Cricetulus griseus: one gene and its partners. The protein of the gene in region 3 interacts with the protein of the main gene of each other region in a pairwise test. Links are inferred from orthologs where the notes say so. Each region holds a gene or a part of one and is shown on either strand. Other genes may lie near its edges.

Evidence for each region.
Region 1: the proteins of Tubgcp4 (region 3) and Sdsl interact in a two-hybrid assay, tested with the Homo sapiens proteins (2 studies listed by BioGRID and IntAct). The two-hybrid records come from large-scale screens. The link is inferred for Cricetulus griseus from reciprocal best matches to the Homo sapiens genes TUBGCP4 and SDSL.
Region 2: the proteins of Tubgcp4 (region 3) and Lztr1 interact in binary tests that used the Homo sapiens proteins (3 or more experiments, as listed by UniProt). The link is inferred for Cricetulus griseus from reciprocal best matches to the Homo sapiens genes TUBGCP4 and LZTR1.

What each region holds. Positions count from the first base shown.
Region 1 is NC_048597.1:100,277,073-100,284,590, reverse strand, and holds the start of Sdsl (serine dehydratase-like), read left to right. Parts: upstream 1-3,642; 5' UTR 3,643-3,762; intron 3,763-7,148; exon of another isoform or gene 7,149-7,249; intron 7,250-7,376; exon of another isoform or gene 7,377-7,448; intron 7,449-7,518. UniProt on the Homo sapiens protein: Catalyzes the pyridoxal-phosphate-dependent dehydrative deamination of L-threonine and L-serine to ammonia and alpha-ketobutyrate and pyruvate, respectively. Also exhibits racemase activity towards L-glutamate and D-glutamate.
Region 2 is NC_048597.1:71,803,289-71,810,703, reverse strand, and holds the start of Lztr1 (leucine-zipper-like transcriptional regulator 1), read left to right. Parts: upstream 1-2,377; 5' UTR 2,378-2,708; coding exon 2,709-2,908; intron 2,909-3,254; coding exon 3,255-3,317; intron 3,318-5,742; coding exon 5,743-5,799; intron 5,800-7,415. Other genes in the region: Aifm3 (apoptosis-inducing factor 3), read left to right, coding at 270-374, 1,203-1,242. UniProt on the Homo sapiens protein: Substrate-specific adapter of a BCR (BTB-CUL3-RBX1) E3 ubiquitin-protein ligase complex that mediates ubiquitination of Ras (K-Ras/KRAS, N-Ras/NRAS and H-Ras/HRAS).
Region 3 is NC_048599.1:57,232,735-57,239,621, forward strand, and holds part of Tubgcp4 (gamma-tubulin complex component 4), read right to left. Parts: intron 4,224-6,887; coding exon 4,173-4,223; intron 3,809-4,172; coding exon 3,703-3,808; intron 2,247-3,702; coding exon 2,139-2,246; intron 1,588-2,138; coding exon 1,446-1,587; intron 1-1,445. UniProt on the Homo sapiens protein: Component of the gamma-tubulin ring complex (gTuRC) which mediates microtubule nucleation.

The DNA of each region.
Region 1 (7,518 bases), on a different chromosome or scaffold from region 3:
CTTCACCTTCCAGGTCCCTAGTCCCACCTAGTGGCTCAGAAAGTCATGCAAGGAAGAGTATGAGGTAAGACTTGTGACAGAGGGTGGTTGGCAAGTATGGGATGTTCCACCTACCTCAGCCGAAAGGTCCCTTTGTCCTGGGGACAGGAGGCACAGCTGGGGCTAGGGTGGTGAAATGAGGGTTAATGAGCAACTGGCCATGGTGGCTGTTTGCTGGCCTGAGGTGTCAGGGACAGGAGCTGGCTGACAAACATAGCATCACTCCCCACCCCACCCCACCCCCAGGTCCAGTCAGCAGCTGTGGAGCCCAGTCCCTCTGCGATTCAGCCTCTGGTTCTGCCCCTGTTATGCGACCTTGTGCAAATGACTCGGTTTCTCTGAAACTGTTTCCTCGGTGTCCGATCACTGGCATTTTTTTTGTTGCTTTCAGATAGTTGTACATTTTGTGATGGAATGACATCACGGGCTTCTTTGCAACTTTGCTGTATTCTCAGATGACTTCTTTTACAGCCATAGGAATGACAACAGAGCACCAGCTGTAGGCCCCAGGCTCTGCTCTACCGGACAGGAGCCTTGTGTCCCTCCCCACAGCAGTGCAAACAAGGCACAGAGAGGTTGGGTGTCCTGCCTAGGGTTCCTCAGCCAGGAGGTGGTGTTGCTACTATGCGCAGCAGAGCCCTGCTCCATGATCTGTGTTCTAGATACTGATTGCACGACCTCCTCCATAGGAGCCCTGTGCCTATTCTGCTTTCTTTCATTCTCTGTTTTCATTAAAAAATTTAAAATTAGCCGGGTGTTGGTGGCGCATACCTTTAGTCCCAGCACTCAGGAAGCAGAGGCAGGTGGATCTCTGTGAGTTCGAGGCCAGCCTGGTCTACAGAACGAGTGCCAGGATAGGCTCCAAAGCTACACAGAGAAATCCTGTCTTGAAAAACAAACAAAAAATTAAAATTACATTTATTTATTCTGTGTGTGTGTGTGTTTGTACACATGCATGCCACAGCATATATGTGGAGGTCAGAATTCAATTTTTTTGGTATCAGTTCTCTCCTTCCACTATGTTGGTCCTGGGAACTGAACTCAGGCCGTCAGTTTGGTGACAAGTGTTCTTACCTGGCAAACCATCTCAACAGCCCTATTTTTCTTTTTGTTTGTTTGCTTTGTTTTGAGACAGTCTTGAATTCATGGCAATCCTCCTGCCTCAGTCCCTGGAGTGCTGAAATTACAGGCATGCCAGCATTTGGCTTGTACTATTACTTAATATTTTTCTTTTAAAAAAGATTTAGAAAATAAAATCTGTGAGTTTGAGACCAGCTTGATCTACAAGAGCTAGTTCCAGGACAGCCTCCAAAGCCACAGAGAAACCCTGTCTCGAAAAACCAAAAAAAAAAAAAAAAAAAAAAAAGATTTAGTTCAGCACAGTAGTACACACCTTGAAATCCAGCACTCAGAGGCAGAGGCAGGAGGATCTCTGTGAGTTCAAGGCCAGCTTGGTCTACATAGTGAGTTCCAAGCCATGCAGGGCTACATAGTGAGACCCTGTCTCAAAAAACAAAACAAGCAAAAAAAAAAAAAAAGAGGAATTATTATTATTTTGGATTTTTGAAATGGTTTCGCTATGTAGCTCTGGCTGTAGACCAGGCTGGCCTCAAACTCACAGAGACCTGCCTTCCTCTGCCTCCTGAGGATTAAAGGTGTGAGCCACCACTGCCTGGCTATGACTTATTATTTTTAATTGTGTGCATGGTGTGTGGGGTTATGTGAAAGTGAATGCAGACACCCATGGAGGCGTCAGACATGCTGGAGTTACAGGCTGTTGTGAGCCGCCTGATGTATGTGTTGGGAACTGAACTTGAGTCTTCAGGGTATCAAGTGCTCTTAACAACTTAGCCAGAGTGGCCCCCCTCCCCCCTCCCGTGTGTGTGTGTGTGTGTGTGTGTGTGTGTGTGTGTGTGTGTGTGTGTGTGTGTGTGTGTGTGTGTGTGTGTGTGTACATTCCCATGCATGGGTGTGCAGCTATAATCCTAGCACTTGGATGGTGGAGGCCAGAAGATAAGATGTCCAGTGTCATCTTCGTTTACATAGCAAGTTTAAGGCTAGCCTGGACTACCCAAGATCCCATTGCAAGAAAAACTAAAGAGACTCCATTCTTAGGGGCTTGTGGTAGAGAGCTTAGCTGACATGTGCAAAGTCCTAGGCTCGATCTCCAGTGCTGGCCATGAGAGCCTTGAGAATATGTTATTGGTATACCACAGGCATGTAATAAGTGCAGATTCTTGTCTACAACTGAGGTATTCCTCTCACCAGGAAGCCTTCTCCATATCTGACACTATAGCCATTGCAAGAGCTTCTACTCTCTGTCCTTTTTGGGTCCTTAGTGCCTTCTGCAAGAATGGGTACTTGATAGTGATGGGGGAGGGGTTAATGTGAGGGCAGAGTTGAGTTGGGCAGGGTCCTAGCTGCAGATCATGGCTAAGCAGCTCCATTTGACCCCAGGTAGCCTGGGGTTAATCATCAATCATGAGAGGGCAAGAGGTCACACTTCCCCAAGGGACACCTATGTTGCCTGGTCCTTCCTGAATCTTGCCTCTCATTTTGTATTTAGGGAAACTGATGCTCAAGATGGATGAGGCCCTGGGTCTCAACGTTGTTCAGTGAGATGGGGACAGAGGGAACACAAGAGTCTGACTCTTCTTCGTGGGTGCTGGAGAGCCCACCTTGGGTCTTCATACTTGCATGGGGGAGCATTTACCCAGAGTCGTCTCTTCAGAGCCTTCACTCTGGACTCTTCTAAGTTCTTCTGTGACCCTAGAACTCAGCGTGGTTTTCAACCCCCACCCCCACTCCACACCTGCCTGGGCTCCCAACATCCCACAGCACCGGCTTCCTGAGCATTGGGACAGAGCAGGGGACATGCTATCTTGTTTGAGGTTAAAGGTCTCAGGTCTTGGCAGGTGGTAGGTGTCTGGTAAATATTTATTTATTGAATGCATGAAGGAATGAACAGCCATTGCTGTGAACAGCAAATAACAGCCAGGCTTCTTCTGCTGGCTGTGAAACAGCAGAGATGGGAATGTGACTGACGTGAGAGTCACCCTTCCAGTCTAGACAGGATGTCAGGATGGCTGCCAGCTCCCCTTGTCTTCTTTCTGTCTTCCTTTTATTTTATTATTTTTTATTTTTAAGACAAAGTCTCTCTGTGTAGCCCCGAGTGTCCTGGAACTTGGTCTATAGACCAGGCTGACCTTGAACTTACAGAGATCCTCCTGCCTCTGCCTCCTGGCATTAAAGGCATGCACCCAATATGCCTGCCCTGCATCTTTGTTTTCTTGTCTCAAACCTAAGCTGACCCCAAGTGTGGTCCTGGGAAAGTGGCCTGACCTAAAGACAGCTCTGCATATGTCAGATCTAGGGTGGCTGTGTTATGAAAGTAGTCCAAGGTGAGAGGTTCCTTCTACGTCTTGCTGGCCAGCCCCTGTGGATGGATGCTTCCCTTTCTGAGCCTCCATTTCCTCATCTGTGAGATGAGCCCAGGTCATTCATGAGCCGTGAGCTGCATGAAGAAGGAGGGGAGGATTGAATAGCCCCATTAGTCATTTTTGTTGTGAGTCTTCACCAGGACCCCAGAATCAGTAACTGTCCCTTTAACAGGGAGGAGGGGCCAGGCCCTGGTGGCGGAAGTTGATCTAGTGGCCTGTGAGTCCAGGTTGGTCCTGGCTGGGCTGTAGGCTGTGCTGGTCTGGGGAACTGTCCTTTGGGAAGGTAAGGGTGGCATTGTGGGAGTGGCTGCGGGCTGTGGGAGTGAGGGTGGCTATTACCCCAGTAGCATCTGTCCTGTCATGTCCAGGAGGCGGGCCCTGGGGACCCTGAGGATGGAAATCAGGTTGTGCAGGCAGAAGGGGCAGTCAGCCTGGCTTTCTAGCCTTTCTCCTAACTCAGCTGCTGTATGCTACCCAAATGGCCCCTGGGGATAGCACCCCAGAACTGTAGGGCTGGAATGAGGGCTAGAGAAAGTGAACAGCGCTTATAAGTGAGTTCCAGTAAGGAAGTCACAGGGCTCTCTCTCCACTGCCTCACCCAGGCCGCCCAGCAGCTGCCACAGTGAGGAGTGGACCAAGGGGTCCCTAGACCTTGGCTCAGATGGGTCCCCACCCTGATGGCAATGAGGCTGCCGTCACCAAAAGGGACATAGAGGCCTTCGGACAGAGTTTCAGCTCTCTTTTGTGCTTGTGTTTGATTTTTTCAAGTCAGGTCTCTCTATGTAACCTTGACTGTTCTGGAACTTATTCTATAGACCAGGCTGGCCTCAAACTCACAGACATCCACTTGCCTCTGCCTCCCAAGTTCTGGGATTAAAGGTGTGTGCCACTGTTACTTGTCGAGGTTCAGCTCTTAAGGATAATTATCAATGAAGTAACAAAGGGTCTCATTTTTAATAAATGATGATGATGGTGGTGAGAAGGAGGATACCAAAAGCCCAGTAGTTAAGATGCCACACAGTGTGGAAGCACACACCTGGGTTTGTACTCCGAGCCACATTTCCTGACCTGTGGCCTTGTGTACCAACCACTCTGGGTCCCTAGTTATGAAATGGGGTTAAATACAGGACTCTGTCAGGGTTTCTCAGTGCATTCTGAGATAATAAGGAAGGTGCTGGGCATGGTGCCCAGTTCCCAGCAAGCCTCACACAACAAGTTAGCTCTTATCAAACCACACTGGGTACAGCTGGCACCTTCACTTCACAGTTGAACTTAATCCTTACAAGGACCCCATGGTGTACAGCACTGCATCCAGTGTGCAACATGGTTCATGCTTAGCTCACTTGCATCTTTCTAGTCCAAGGTTCCATGCCCAGAGGAGACCATTTTGCTCATCTTTAATATTCAGTTTCCTATTATTTTGTTGGTTTATAGTAGATCTCCTCATCAAACTACAAGCTGGCTCTGAAGTAGGCATCTCTCTTCCCCACTGTATCATCCTCGTGTCCCAAGCCCCAGCCTGGACCTTGACAGTACTTTCTAGACATGCAAGATAGGGTGTACATGGCAGCATTGGTAGAAGGTCCCATTGAAGGGATCTGCCTAGAGTATTCAGCCTGGAGCATGGCAGTGTGTCCCAGAGGCTCATCCACACCACAGCCTGGGAGTTGGAGTGTGTGTTTGTTCCCATTTTACAGAAAAAGAAATAGACCCAGGCTGGTTGAGACACTTACTTGAGTCACACAGCTGTTTTTTGACTTTGATCTCTGGTTAGCCCCCAAACCTGTGATCTGGGGTTGCAAGACTGAGTGTGTGGGTCAAGCCAGGCTATGAGGGATGTCTTAGGATTACTATTGCTGTGAGACCAACGGTTCTAAGGAGAAGAAAGGGTTTAATAGGCTTACACTTATATTGTTATTTGTCATCAAAGGAAGTCAGGACAGGAACTCAATCAGGGCAGGAACCTGGAGGCAGGAGCTGAAGCAGAGACCAGGGAAGGGTGCTGCTCACTGGCTCACTCACCATGGCTTGCTCAGCCTGCTTTCTTATAGAACCCAGGACCACCTTCCTAGGGATGGCCCCACCCACTGTGGCCCCACCCTCCCCCCATCAATCATCAATCAAGAAAATTCATGAACAGCTTTCCCACAGGCCGGTCTGATAGGGTCATTTTATCAGTTGAGGTTCCCTCTTCCAAAATGACTCCAGCTTGTGTCAAGTTGACCTAAAAACTAGCCAGCACAGGGAGTCTGGGGACCAGGTACAGCTCATAGGCCCCCCTTCCCTGTGAGAAGTGCCGAAAGAGATGAAGGGGTCTGCTCTGTCTTTGCCTTGTCTGGGGAGGTCCAGGGCCATCCTGATAAAGGGTCAGATTCATGGGCCAGTTCCCTATTTGAGTCCCTTGAGTAAGAGAGGGTAAGAGGTTCAGGCTTGGGGCGTGGGGGGACTGGAAGGGGCTGGAGGGGCCTCCTGGTGGCCGACCTTGGGACTGCAAAGGGCCTCACCAAAATGAGGATAGTTTTTATTTCTGTTTTTGTCCCTTTTCTTTGGTGGTTTGAAACAAGGCCTTCTCAATACATAGCTGATAATATGTCCTTGAACTCACTTTGTAGCCCAGACTGGCCTTGAACTCATGTTGTAGCCCAGGCTGGCCCTGAACTCTCAATCCTCCTGCCTCGGTTTCCTGAGTTTGAGTGCAGGGATTACAGGTGTGAGCAACCCAGCTTATTCCTTTCTCCAACATTCCTTCCCTCATTTCTTATTTTTTTAAATTTATTTATAGACAAGGTCTCTTTTTGTATTCCTGTCTGGCCTATAACTCCCTTTGTAGACCAGGCTGGCCTGGAATTCATAGCTCTTCCTGCCTCTGCCTCCCGAGTGATGGGATCAAAGGCTTGTGCTACCACATCTGTCATCCTCCCCCCCCCTTTAAAAATTGTATTTATTATCAGTGTGAGTGCATGAGTGTGGATGTGTGTATAAGGGTGAGTGTATGAGTGTGTGAGAGTGTGTATGTGTGAGTGTGAGTGTGTGAGTGTGTGTGTGTGTGTGTGTGACGACGACACTGTGAACTAGATTCTCTCTTTCCACCCTAAGTGGTTCCGGGGTATCAAACCCAGGCCATCAGACTTATGAGACAAGTAGCATTTGCTGAGCCATCTTGCCAGACACCTTTGAAATCTTTTAAAATTTATTTTTAGGTGTACATGTGTTTGTCTGCAAATATGCCTGCACACTGTGTGCAAGCTGTGCCCAAGATGGCCACAAGAGGGCATCAGACTCCCTAGATTGGGAGATACATCCGGTTTGTGAGCCACCATATGGGTCCTGGGAACTGAACCTGGGTCCTTTGCAAGAGCATCATGTGCTCTTAACTGCTGAGCCATCTCTCCAGCCCGTCCCCCTCTTTTTTTTTTTTTATTTTTTGTTTGTTTGTTTGTTTTGAGACAGATCTTGTGTGGCCCTGACTGGCTTCAAATTTGTTATGTAGTGACATAAAATCATCACCAAATGTAGATCATTGTAAAGCTACATATGTACATCAAAAACAAAAGCTTTCTGGCCAGTGTGACATCATAATTATAATCCCAACACTAAGGAGGTGGAGGCAGGAGGATGGTGGGTTCCAGGCCAGCCTGGGTCACACATGGAGATCCCATCTCTCAACAGCAACTACAACAAAAGCATCTTTGCTTTTAGAGATACAGGCCATGGCTGTATAACTAGGAACGGATGACAGGGAAGAGGGCATAAAACTGCCAACGGCAAAGGTAAGTGACTAGGGAAGTGCCCTGCCTCCCTCGCACGTGCTTAACCAGCATTTTTTTTATGGAAAAATGATGAATGAATGACTGAATGATTTTTTTATTACTTTTCGGTCACATTCTGTGTCTCCAGCACTATGGACAGCCACAGACACTAAGTGAAGGGTACCCAGGACAATCTGCCTTGTTCAGATGGGAAACCAAGGTCCAGAGAGGGGCAGACACTTGCCTGAAACTTGAAGCTTGGAAGCTGGATTGGATTTGGGGTGGCCAGG
Region 2 (7,415 bases), on a different chromosome or scaffold from region 3:
TTGAAACCAAGGTAGGTGTCTACAACTAGGAAAGGCATGCTAGTAGAGAAAAGGCGATGCTGAGGCCGGGACCATCCCTTCGCCGTGCCAAGGGCTGGAGCTTCCTAGGCCAACTGACAGTTCTGGGACCATTAGAGGGCTGGGTGCTCAGGACATCCTGTTTTCCTGGACAACAGCTTCCCAGCACCTCAGGTGGACAGAAGGGTGTTGGGATCTCCAAGAAGGACCATTTCTAGTGGTCCTCAGGTTCAGGCTCCTTCTCTCTATAGAGGTGATGAAGTGATTGCTGTGGCCAGCATGAACTACGATCCCATCGTATCCAAGGTGGCTGAAGTGCTGGCCTCAGGTCGAACCATCCGGAAGCGGGAGGTTGAGTGAGTGCCCGTGTGGGAGGTTTGGGGGTGTGTGTGTGTGGGTGTCCTGGGTAGGATTTACTCAAGCTTCCATGGCAGCCTGTTGCACCCACAGTCCTGTAGAGCTTTTCCCCTCACTTTTAGTTCCCATGGCTCCTGGGTAGGATGGGGGGTGAATTAGCGATTTAGAAGCTGACAAATTGTGATTACAGGAGCAGAAGGAAACAGGTGTGTGCCCCCAGAGAGAAGCCAGTGCTGTGGGATGGAGGCAAAGTCCACTACTTGAGTGAACCCAGCCTGGGACTCCTGACCAATGTGATTTGTGCTAGGCCTAGGAGGGGGAAAACAGTGGTGCTCCCAGATATGCCATACACAGGGATGTGGGAGATAGGACATCTGGGAGGCACTGGACACTAGCCATTCTGTATCCCAGCACAGTGCCAATAAGAGTCCCCTGTGTATAGAGAACTTCCAGGAGCTAGGGACAGGGTAGAGGTGCCTGAGGGGCTGAAGGCTATCTGACAGGGGTAACTCCTAGAGTGGAAACAGGCAAGACCCAGAGTAGACCTCATAAATGACATGCTTTCTTTGGCCTTCTGTTTTTCCCTCTTGCCTTCGCAAAGGCTGTTTATGCTACACAGCAAGTACGTGTGTTCTGTTGACTGTTCTAAGCCTTTTCTTCCCCCAGCCCAATTATCAAATCCTCCTACCCTGCCCAAGTCCACTCCCCTGCTGAGCACCAGGCTTTGACACATAGCAGTCCCCGCTACTGTTTTCATGTTTGTTCATGGCCTGGAGTCGAGAACCTACCCTCTTCTGCCCTGACCCATCACTATTTCGTCCCTGCAGAACCGGTGACATGTCTTGGCTCACAGGGAGAGGATCCTGAGCTCTCATGTGGTGGATTTGGGCAGGCCTCTGGGCACCAAGGTCAGAGACCAAGTCCTGGGGGCCAGTGCCAATCTCCTATTTCCCAGGATACCCCAGGGTGGAATCTGAGTCCTCTCAAGGCTTGCCTTCAACTGTCTGCCTCCCCTCCAAAGAGGCTCCTGCTGTCTCCAGAAGATGGTCCCTCCCAAGGCTCAGCTGTTGTTGACAGCTGGTTTTAGAGGCAGGACAGGCTCTGCCTGTTTCCTCTCTTAGGACTGTCTTCCCAGCAAGAGCCTGTAACATTACCTTAAAATTAAAACACATGTATCTACAGATGTGTGTCCCATTGTAATTGGGCCAGCACTCGAGGGAGAGCCAGGTATGGTGTGACACACCTGCAATAGCAGAGTTTGAGTCCATCCTGAGCTACATGAGATCTTGTTTTTAAAAAGCTTCAGAAGCCAGAGGCAGCTTTTGTATTTGCCCACTTAAGAAAGATAGGAACTGGGTCCTGAGCCAGTTTCCATGCTTCTCACAGCCATCTGAGCTGCTTTGTTACTGTCATTAAATCACCTCATCGTTATATACTCAGAAATAAAAATACTCAGCTGGATTACAGTAGCCACTCAAAAACTTAGCCAGTCCAATTCTATATATCTCGATGATCTTTTGTACAGCTAGGATAGCCATTATGAAGCCACTAGTGACTTCACTTTTACTATTTTATGTTTACAAGCACTTACCACAAAAAAATACAACAAAGTTGAAACTAGAAAACCAATTAGCTTTACGATTTCATTTTCATGACTTCATGTGTCCCTTTTGCCTGAACTTTGTGAATCCTTATTTCACAGGCGAAGAACTAATTCAACTGGCCTCAAACTACAATGTAAAAAATACGGTTTGTGGTGTAGCCTAAGCGCAATGCTTGCCCATCATGTCTAGGGTTCAAAGCACACTGCAGAAACAAATGAAGATCCTGCTCATGAACAGGAACGGAGAACCCAGAGGTTCTCCGCTATCAAAAGTTCCAGACAATAAGCGCCAAAGGGAGAGGGGAGCACTGAAGACCAGGTTTAGGGGTACAAACAGAAGGTGGACGGTTGAGCCGCCTACAAGCCGGAAACCTCACTCTGGAGTTCCGGGGGTGGTGGCTTCCGGGCGATGACAAAGACCGACTATAAGGCTTGGTCTGATCAGACGGCGTTCCCCGAAAGTGGAAACCTGAGCCGATTCTCGGCCAGAAAAGCTTTCAGAATGGGAAGCACTGCGTGATAATGTGAGGAATCCCGCTGACAGACCCTTGACAGCCCGCCGTGTGGCGGAGAACGCAAGGCTTGTTGGGAAGGCGGACCTAGCGTGCAAGCTGGCCGGACGTGCTACGCCGTAGGCGCAGGGCTCTTCGGGAAATGTGGTCCCTTGGCTCGGCCCGGGCGGTGGCCGTGAGCCCTGCAACCCGGGCGGCCCATCCAGCCTGAACCAAGGATGGCTGGGCCTGGAGGCTCGGGGGCCCAGATCGGGCCCGGGGCCCTGGCAGGAGGTTTGCGCTCCAAGGTGGCTCCGAGTGTGGACTTTGACCACAGCTGCTCAGACAGTGTCGAGTACCTGACGCTCAACTTTGGACCCTTCGAAACAGTGCATCGCTGGCGGCGCCTCCCGCCCTGCGACGAATTTGTAGGAGCCCGGTACGACAGTGTACAAGAGATCCTGAAGGCAATGGGAGTGGCGACGAGAGCCGAGGAGGTCCCAGGATGGGTTCTAAGGGGCAACACCCCGTGTGATGTCCTGGAGGTAGTCGATTTCCAGGGAGTCGCACAGTAGTGACCCTAAGCAGGGTACCAGACGGTCCAGTTTGGGTAGGGAGTCTGAAGAGTCCTCGGTGTGTCAGGCGTCCTTCCTATCTAATGGAATTGAAGATCTCTGTAGATCTTGGCAGTGGAGAGGCTTTACCCAAACTTATGTGGCAGCCACCATGGTGGCAGCCTGGAGAGTCCCAGTCTCACTGCCCCTTCACCTCTTCTTTCTTTCTAGGCGCAGCAAGCACACAGTCGTGGCATATAAAGATGCCATCTATGTGTTTGGCGGAGACAACGGGTGAGTTTACCTGTTAATGGGAGTGGTGGCAGTGGACGATGACAGTGAGACAGACTATTGCCTAAGAAGGGAGTCATGAGCTATGCCCTGTGAACCTCTGTTTCCCTGTCTATAAGGTGCCTTGTACCTGGTTCCCAGGTTATGGTGAGAAGATCCTGCCTGGAAAGCCTTCTCACCCCAGCATTCAAATGGCAGTACATGGAAATATACTGTTTTGAATGAGTAGACACAGCCCTGTGTGGCACTTTTCTTCTTTCTCAACACTTCCCTCTAGGCTTTGCCCACTTGCTTGCTTTGTAACCAAAAGTATGGAGAACATGTTTTGTTGTTGTTTTTACATCTGTTTATGTGTGTGTTGGGGGTGCATGCAGGAGTCATCTTTCTCCTACCATTCGGGTACCAGGGATTGAACCCAGGTTGCAAGACTTGGTGGCAAGTGTCTTCACTTGCTGAGCCATCTCACTGCCTCCAAAATAAATTTTATTGATTCTGTGTATATCTTGCTTCTGGTGGAGATTTCCCTGTGTTGCTTTAACCTCCTGGAAAATACTCTTCCTGGAAATGACTTGCAGTTCTGGTGAGCACTTTTCTCCACACACAGACTTGTTAAGTTAAGCTAAGGTTATGTTTGCAAATGACTCCCTCTTCTCGGACCCAGAACCAAGGGGACTACAGCCTTGGTCCTGTAGTCTACCTGTGGTAGCTGATCTAGAGCAGGTGAGGTTTTCAGGATTCTATTAGAACATGCAAACTTGGCCATGGTCTTCTGGCATCATCTCATCTCCATAGTTCTTTCTCAAGAGCAGCTGGGGATCCATTTACAACTGCAAGTCAAGAGTATGTTCCTCCTCAGCCCATAGCCCCGTAACATCCTGGCACCTCTTTGTGTAGAGCTCAGTCCTTACAGGAGTGTATGAGGTCTACTGTACAATGGTGTTTTCCTGATTCTCAGCCAGCCCTTTGCATTTGTTGTTTCTTCCCTGACACACTCTTGTGGCTTCCTTTCTAATGTTCCTTATGGATGAGGCCTTTGTGCCCTCTCTTACCAGCTCCATTTGCTCTACCCCCCAATTAGGCAAGTGTTGACACTGATTCACTTACCCAAGGCATTTTTCTTCTCACTTCTCTGTACCAGTGCCCAGATGTCATAGTCCGTGTTTAGTGAGTTAGAGGATGAGCCTTAGTAAGAATTCCCCACACTACAAAAGACCACTGTCCAGCATAGGGTGGTGGGTGGGAACTTAGGATCCCTGTCCTTAGCATTTTCTGGAGCAGGTAGACAACTGTGTGGTGAAAAGCAGAAGTGTTTTTGGTATGCAGTTTCAAAAGAAAGTTTAATTATGCATCTGCTTGCCTGTGACTTAAGATAAACCAGGGAAGCCTCCATTCAACAGAGTGGGAAGAAGGGTTCTTGCTAGGCAGTAGCAACTTTGCATATTGGAAAGCAGGAGGAGCAAGGAAACCCGGGGTTGAGGTGGGGCCAGGTCAGTTCGGGTAGAGTTCTTCAGGGCCGCCACAGGGATTTCCTCATGAAGATCCAGGTAGACTGCACTCTCTGGTTTTGGGGAAAAATTTTTAGGTTTTGGGGCCATCTGATCCTTGATGCTTGAGTTGATGAGGCGTTTGTCTTTGGGGGCCTAGTATAGGTACTTAGTTCAAAACAGTAGCCTCCCATTATTTTAACAAATGCCCCTACATTTAAGTAGGGGATTAAATGAGGGAAAGCATGATCCCAGCCTCTAAGCTTTGCCTTCCTGGCTGTTTGGCTATGCTTCCTCTCCCATAAAATGAAGTCAGGGAGGGTATCCACCGTCACAGACTGAGCAAGGCAGAGATGCCCTGCGAAGGCCTGGCCTGAAGGGGGTGCTTGAGGTCTTGTTGGTTCACTGCTCTTTTTCCACATTAACAAGAGTTGATAACATGCCAGTAATGTAAGCAGGACAGTGGAAATCCAGTGGACAATGGATTTCTCTTTAATGCAGTTGTTATGTCAGGTGACAGGGAGATGGGAAAGCATGCAGGTCTCCACTGATGTTTGAGCCAGCATTTCATTGTAGTGCAGCCTTGGGAGGGTTAAATGTAGGAGTAGGAATTCTGGAGACTGGGGTGAGGTGTGAGTGATGACTCCAGCCTCTGGGCTGGTTCATGCTCTCATATCAGCCTTGAGTGGGCTGCTGGTGGTGGGGATCAGGCTGGCTCTGTCAGTGTGGGAGCCCTAGTTGACCATATCACTAGTCACTAGTTCTGTCCTTTGGACATTGATGGGTTGTCTGACTCTGGACAAGTCCAGAGACCTGTGAGCCAAGCCCTTCCTGCTGTCTCCTACCCTTAGGTACATGCCCTTGCCCATCTCTACGATCCTGGTGAGGTAACACCTCCACAAAGTAGCCTGGCTACTGTCACCCTCTCTCTTTCTGCTTTTCAGAAAGACGATGCTCAACGACCTCCTGCGATTTGATGTGAAGGACTGCTCCTGGTGCAGGTGGGTGGCCCCTGGGCTCCAGGATCCTGCCCGTCCTGGAAAGCAGCAGCACAGTGCTGGGTCCACTGGTTGTTAGGGTCAGCTCATCGTGGAGGGCCAGAGAGAAATGTAACAGAGGACAGCCTTTGATGGCTTCCCTCCTTCTCGCAGTTTTCTGTGAGAATCATCCTAAATCCTGTGAACAAAGGGGTCTGCCTGATCTACTTGGTGGTATTTAGACTCTGACCTGGGAGGGACCTTCAATCATCAGAATTTCTCCTAGGCCAGCAGTTGCTGTCTGATCTCAGACAGGGCATGGGCAGGTCTCAGCTAGTTTTCCCAGAGTGCCACCTCCAGGCTGGCAGCAGGGCCTCCTGTCCCACCATTGTCTCATAGGACTAGTTGCCTGCCAGTAGACCCCACATAGGCATTAAGCAGCATGCAAACCCTGCGAACCATTCTCAGCTGTGTGGCCTTGTACAAGGGCTACCTGCTCTCTGGGTGCCACATATTGTGTTTCCTGCAGCAGTCCCTGTCTGGGAGCAGCTTAGAGTGGAGGGTGGGGGTTGACTGGACTTGCTAGCTCCATCATCTGCTCACACAGGAGCACAGTGCTACACAGCACCTCGTGGTGGTCTGGAGGACATCCCCTTGGTCCCCAGCGGCCTTCTGGGTTGGGGTCTGTTTTGAAAGAGGAGGATGCAGGGCTCTGGAGATTTTTGTGACTGCCCTGGACACTCAGCCAGGCAGGGCAGCTTCATTTGGCATCATGCACTGCCTTGGGGTTTCTATTGCTGTGCTGGAACACCGTGGCCAAAAGCAACTCCAGGAGGAAAGAGTTTATCTCAGCTTACATGGCCATGTCACAGTCCACACTCAAAGAAGTCAGGGCAGGAACTCAAGGCAGATAACTGGAGGCAGCAGCTGAAGCAGAGGCCATGGAGGGTGCTGCTTACTGGCTTGCTTCTCATGGCTTACTCAGCCTGCCTTCTTATACCACCCAGGACCACCAGCCCAGGCGTGGGACCACCTACAATGAGCTGGGGCCTTCCACATCAATCACTAATTAAGAAAATGCCACATCGGCTTGCCTACTGCCTGATATTATGGAGACATCTTCTCAGTTGTGTTTCCCTATTTTTCCCAAGTTGTAGATAATCTACAACTTGACACAAGTTGACAAAAACAAACAAGCAAAAACAACAAAACCTCACAATCAACTAGGACCCCACCCACTGCCTGGTAACACTGACATAGCAACAGAAATTGTTTTTCTCACACTTGATCTTTTGTTTGTTTGTTTTATTTTTTGAGACAGGGTTTCTCTGTGTAGGTTGTAGACCAGGCTTGCCTTCATCTTAATGCAGTTGCTACCAATTCTTTCCTTTTTCCTGTGCTGGATATAAAATCTAGGGACTGGTGCATGCCAGGCAAGCACTCTACCTCTGAACTGTATCCCTAGCCTTTTTTTTTTTTTTTTTTTTTGAGACAGGGTCTCAAACTTGCTATGCAGGTAAGGACGACCTGACCTCTTACCCACTTATATCTACACCTGAGTACAGGGGTTACAGACATTCACTCCCATGTCTGGTTTATGCAATATTAGGCATCTAATTCAGAACTTTGGCTGAGCAGGC
Region 3 (6,887 bases):
AAATCTAACTAACATAAGGGTCCCAAGTAAATTAACATCATCAACAACAAATCATAAAAATCAGGGGTAACTTCTAAGGACTGATGGAATAGGCAAGTGCTAGAACTCAGTGTGTTACCTGAGACTTCATATTTGAGACTACAAACTAATCTACAAATAATAAGCCTACAATTGCTTATTACTTGTCAGTTAAAAAGAGAAATCTGGGCCAGTCATGGTAGTGTATACCTTTAATCTCAGTGCTTGGGGAACAGACAAGCAGACCTCTGAATTTGAGGCCAGCCTGGTCTACAAAGTGAGTTCCAGGACAGCCAGGGTTACATATAGAAACCCTGTCTCAAAGTCTGGGGGCGAGAGATGGCTCAGTGGTTAAGAGCACTTGTGGCTCTTTTAGAGACCGGATTTAGTTGCTAGCACTGATACTGAGTGCCTCACAATTGTACCATCTCCAGTTCTGGCCTCCATGGGAACCAGCATGCATATGCACAAACAAAGACACATTACAAAAAAAAAAAAAATCTTAAAGGTGTCATTTTGTGTGAGTGAATGCAGGTGGGCATATGCCCTGGCAATCATGTGAATGCCAAATTAGACATCCCCCTACACCTTGGTTTGAGACAGGGTATTTTTGCTGCTTGCCTCTGTTTATGTTAAACTGGCTTGCTTGTGTACTTACTGATACTCCCCTGTCTCTTCCTCCTATCTCATAGCAGAAATTCTGGGACTACAGGCATGGACACACGCTTCATTGGGGATCTGAACTTTGGTCTTCACCTTTATTCATAGTCTTTTCTCCAGCCTAGTCTGATGATTCTAAGTGGCTATATGCCTTCCCATTCATTCAAGTCCTTACCATTCCCTATTGTTTCATGGCTGTCACTTCACTTATTAATGTGAGCTGCTTGTTTGTTTTTGTTTTTTGGTCAACTTGACACAAGCTGGAGTTACCTAGGAAGAAGGAGCTTTAGTTAAGGAACTGCCTTCATTGGATTTCCCTGGGCAAACCTGTGGAGTATTTTCTTCTTGACTGATGATTGATGTGGGTGACACCACACCTGGACAGGTGGGTCTGGGATGTGTAAGAAAGAAAACTGAGCAAACAGGAGTAAGCCAGTAAGAAGCATTCCTCTGTGGTTTCTGCCTCTGTTCCTGCATGGATTTCTACACTGACTTCCCTCAATGAAGAACTGTTATCTAGATATATACACCAAATAAGTCCTTTCTTCCCACATAGCTTTTCATCATAATCTTTTTCATAGCAACAGAAAACAAACTAGAACCCCTGTGTAGGCTCCTGCAGACGGGTGAGTCTGCAACCTCTAGCTTAACCAGTATAGAAACCAGCTGGATGACAGGTTGCTTCCGCCAATCGTATCTGTTCACTTACTGCTTCCTTTGGATGTAAGGTGGGTAATACTTACTGGGAGAAACTCACAACTACTCACTTTTCCAAGACAGCTGGGGTGAAGAGAATATGCAGTGGCCACTGTACTTTGTAGGAGAGACCTAGAGCAGCCCACCCGGAAGCAGGGGCTTCCCGGGGGGACGTTTCCCGAGAAGGCCCTTCTCTTGGCTGGGTGGCATCTGCTATGGATAAGAAGATAATGAAAAATAACTTGGTTAATTAGAACCAGAGAGAGCAAGATGAACTGCACACATCAAATGAGACACCAGTGGTGCTAAACAGCAGCATTGAGAGGCAACAGAAGTAAAGGGGAGGAACCTCCTGTGAGGGCTTTGCTGAGAGGAATCTTAAACAAAAATACAGATGTGATTTCAAAAACCTGTGGACAGAGCACCTGAACCTTTCTGGAATTGTGTTCTTGTACAAAATTAGAGAACTAGGGGCTGGAGAGATGGCTCAGAGGATAAGAGCACTGGCTGCTCTTCCAGAGGTCCTGAGTTCAATTCCCAGCAACCACATGGTGGCTCACAACCATCTGTAATGAGATCTGTGCCCTCTCTGACCTACCGACCTACATATAGGCAGAACACTGTATACATAATAAATTAATAAATCTTAAAAAAAAATTAGAGAACTAGATTAGGTGATCCCTAAGGTCCAAACTACAGTTTCTGTGAAGGGAAATTATGAAAACAAGAAGATGCAGCGAGGAGGCAATAGGAGACTAACAAACCTTTGTGGTCCTTTCCATGATACTCAATTGTCAAGTGCAACAGAGGGAGAAGGTTGTCATCATCTAGCAGCACCTTGTGTGCGGACTGTTGAAAGGCCACATTCACATCTGCCAGAAAGAGCACAGGAAAGCAACAGTAGGGCTCAGCTAGGGCCAGGACATATGTGACTTCTGTCTGTCCAGCATTAATTTCTCCTTGTCCTTATTAACAATAATAAGAGAATCACCCCTGATCAGTACAATTCCTGTAGTGTCAGCGGGGTTGGCAATACCCAATTCTTGGGAAGGCAGCATGATCAATGGGTCATGACAGCTGACCTTTTGGTTGTTTTATTTATAGACTTGCTCTAATTCAGGCCAACCCAGAGGCTCTCTTCAGACTTTGAAAAAATGTAGTTCTTCAGTTTTAGAAACATAAATCTGGCAAGAGCAGTGGTTGGGGATTGAACAACCCTTTCACAGAGGTTGCAAATAAGATATCCTGTATATCAGATATGGACATCATGACTCATAACAGTAGCAAAATTAGTAATGAAGTAGCAACAAAAATAATTTTATGATTGGGCGTCACATCATTAGGAATGTTGAAAACCACTGGATAGAGCCTACCCTGCCTGCTAAGAAGACAAAGATAATTAGGTTTTACCCAAAACCATCACATATGAGATTATGAGAATAAAATCTATCCTTTTTATTTATTTGCTTAAGTGAGTCTGAACTGGCTTTTCTGGTATCTGTAACAAAAAAGCACAGTAGTTATCTATTGTCTCATTAAACTATAAAAACAAACCTCTCCATTTCCCTCCCATTTTCTTTTTCTTGGCTTGGATCCTTACTACATTCTCTTCTTGTGTCTGGGTGGAGGCAGCCATTAACTGGCCAAGGGGAAGACACTTTGCTGAACGAGACATATCCTAACACCTCACTTCACTGTTACAGTGATAGCCATGTGACATGGGGAGGGCCAAATAAAACTAAGCACTTCACTAGACTTCTTTAATTTGCTGCTAGAAACCAGGCTAGGCTGTTTTGTGTATGTGTGTGTTGGGGGGGGGCATCAAAGGTAAGGAAAAAAGTCTTAACAGTACTGAAGACCTTTGCTTTACTTGTCCTGACAGCCAGTAATACCCCAAGCACAAGAGAGTTATAGCTATAACTAGGCTTTCCCAGGCTGGGTTTCCATTTTTGTTTGTTTTTTGTTTTTTGAGACAGGGTTTCTCTGTAGCTTTGAAGCCTGTCCTGGAACTTGCTCTGTAGTCCATGCTGGCTTCCAACTCCCAAAGGCTGGGATTAAAGGCAAGCACCACCACCACCCGGCTTCCATTATTATTTATAAGATAAAAATAGGGTGTGATGGCTAGAGCACTGATAGTTAAGAGCACTGGCTGCTTTTTCAGAGGACCGAGGTTCCCTTCCACACACCCACATGGCAGCTCATAAACTTGTGACTCAAGTTCTCATTCTTCTGGCCTGTGCAGGCAAACATACAATGTACAACACATCAGCCAAGAAACACCCAGCAACTTGAGCAAGCTGTTTATTCTCAGGGCCATAGGACAATTACCATGCTCTGTTACTGCAGTGGGTGGTGTTTTTAACATGTGTTGAGCTGTGTCAATGAAGGCCTGGAACAGTTCTCCTCGTCCCAGAAGGTAAAAGTCTTTAATGATCTGAGGAAAGAATTTCAATGTACAGTTCAGTAAATCAGAACAGAATTTCAATGTACAGTTCAGTAAATCAGAGCCTTGAGGCCTTTACTACCCGAGAGAATTAGATACATAGGGGCTGATGCTATCAGTCTGAAAGACACAGGCTTAGTATTTTAAAGATGATTACAGAGCAGCCATTCAAAACAGGAGGACTCTATGTATTTGATGGCATTTAGATCACAACAGAAGAAAGTAAACTTGAATCTTCAGGATTCAGAAGATTTGTAGCATCAAATATAATTTCCTTGCCCGAGTAAGAACAATGAGTCTAGGCAAGAGTGTTTTCCACAGTTATCCCAAGATTTAAAAGAATATCACTTATTACCTTCAGCTGACCCAGTAAGTCTGATTCCTCTACCATTAGCTTCCAGAGGTGCTGTGATAAGAGTAAAAAAACAAACAAAAAATCTTAAGTTCATTACAGAGACCCAAAGTTCAGCTAGCCCTAGGAATGAACAGATACATCAAAACAAAAACCTATGCAGGATAAAAATGTCCTGAAATTAACAGTAAAGCTGCGCAAACAACTGTGAAATTAAAAACCACTGGATTAAATACAATTTTTATTTTTATATTTTATTTTATTTTGGTTTTTCAAGACAGTGTTTCCTGTGTAGCTCTGACTGTGCTGAAACTCACTTTGTAGACCGGGCTGGCTTTGAACTCACAGAGATCCCCCCATGTCTCTGCCTCCTGAGTGCTGGGATCAAAGGTGTGTGCCACCACCACCCACTTGGCTTACTGGTGATTTATAAAAAGTAAACAAGCTAGGCTTGGTGGCACATGCCTGTCATCCCAGTACTGGGAGACTATCTCAGGAAGATGACCAAGTTCCAGGCCAACCTTGTTTATGCCACAAAATCCTTTTTTTTTTTTTAAGGACTAAAGAGATGGCTTAGCAGTTAAGAACACTGATGCTCTTCCAGTGGACATGGGTGTTTGATTTCCAATACCCACTCATAACCATCTGTAACTCCTGTTCCAGAGAATCTGGCACCCTCATCTGGCCTCTAAGGACACCAGGCAGGCATATGATACACATATATACATGCAGGCTTAACACCCATACATGTAAAAAAATATATATACAACTTATACATGCATTGAAATACTATATGAGAGGCTGGAGAGATGGCTCAGTGGTTAAGAGCACTGACTGCTATTCCAGAGGACCAAGGTTCAACTCCCTGCACCCACATGGAACTGTCTATAATTCTGGGACCCAGCGGAAAACACCAATGCACACAATAAAAATAAATTTTAAAAAACCCTGAAATACATGATTTTCCATTTATATATAATTTGTTTTTATGTACAAGTTAGTATGTCTTAATATTTAAATAAGATGAAAGAAAAAGAGAAAGTAAAAATTACCTAAAGAATTTATAAATTAAGGGAAAATAAGAAACAAAAGATAGTTCTAATTAGTTTATTAATCTTAATAAAGCCTATAAAGACAGAACAATAATGAGAAAAACTGGGGCGAGTGAGATGGTTGCGTGAAGAAAGAGCTTGCTAAGCAAGCACAAGGACCCAAGTTCAGATCTCCAGCACATATGCAAAAGCTGGGTAAATGGCTCATGTCTATAGCCCAGTGCTAGAAGACAGCTAGACAAGTAGATACTGGGGACTGACTAACTGGCAAGCTAGTCTAGCCTAAACAGAAAACTCTTGGCTCTCACTGTCCTAAAAATAAGATGGAGAGTAAAAACAAGATAACAGAAGGTGATCTCTGGGGCCCATGTGTGTGTGCACACATGCACGCAACAGAAATACATATACCACAAACACACAAAATGTTTAAAACACAAAATTTAAGTAAACAAAACATAATTTCAGACAAGTAAGTATTTAAAAAATTAAATCTATCTGAAACAGTTAAGTTCTGCAGAGTACCCAAATTGTTACATATTGCTGCCATGCGGACCAGCTTTCAGCAGCTCAGGGATTGAGAGAGATCCACTGAGCTGGTGAACTAATCACTCAACTTGACTTTTCTATCTGAGGGAGTAAAACAGTTCTCTGGGGCAGGCTCAAATGGGAAACATGCACACACGCACGCAAGCACAAGCACACACATACAACAAGCATGTCAGGACTTCACCTAGTGTGCTGATGAATGGCAAGCCTTCAGCAGGTCAGAGAAACTAAAGAGGAAATGCAAAGCAGGTGAACTACTGGACAGACAGACACATGAGGACTTTTCTGCAGGCCAAGGCTTAGTTCTTATTATTTTTTTTTTGTTGCTTGTTCTACTACTCTTTTTCTGTTTTGTTCTTCTACACTGATGTATCCCTTCTGTCTCTCTTGATTTCTTCCTTCTAGCTAACTTTATTTCCCTTACATCTTATATACCCCAGCAAAATCTTTCAAGCAATGTAAAAATTACAATGTCATTACATTCTATTTTCTTTTTTAAAGATTTTATTTATTATGTATACAACATTCTGCTCCCATATATATCTGCACACCAGAAGAGGGCACCAGATCTCATTACAGATGGTTGTGAGCCACCATGTGGTTGCTGAGAATTGAACTCAGGACCTTTGGAAGAGCAGTCGGTGCTCTTAGCCTCTGAGCCATCTCTCCAGCCCCATTACATCCTATTTTCAAGTGAATGATTACAATAAATACAAGTAAAGAACAGCACGTTTTCCATATCCCTTATGTAATTAAACATTTCATGTATTAGAGATGAAAAACAAGTTTCTCAGCCAGTTCTTTTACTGGCAGACTGCATTTTGCAGTTACAAAGAAAGGATCAATCATTTTATTATTTATTTCAAAAGGTAATCTTATAAGAAATCTTAAAAGAATCACAAATCTAAACTTTAATATATGAAACACAGTCAGTTCTACTTGAAGTCCTCGAGGTGCATACCCACTCATTAACAGTTTTTTTTTTTTTTTTTAAATATCCGGAAGCTGAGGGTAGAAATGGGTACAAGGAATTAATAACACTCTTGATCATCAACCCATCCTAGCAAGAAAGGTACATCAGCCAGCAGTAGCCAGGCTGTCATTGTTTTTGTTCCCCGAC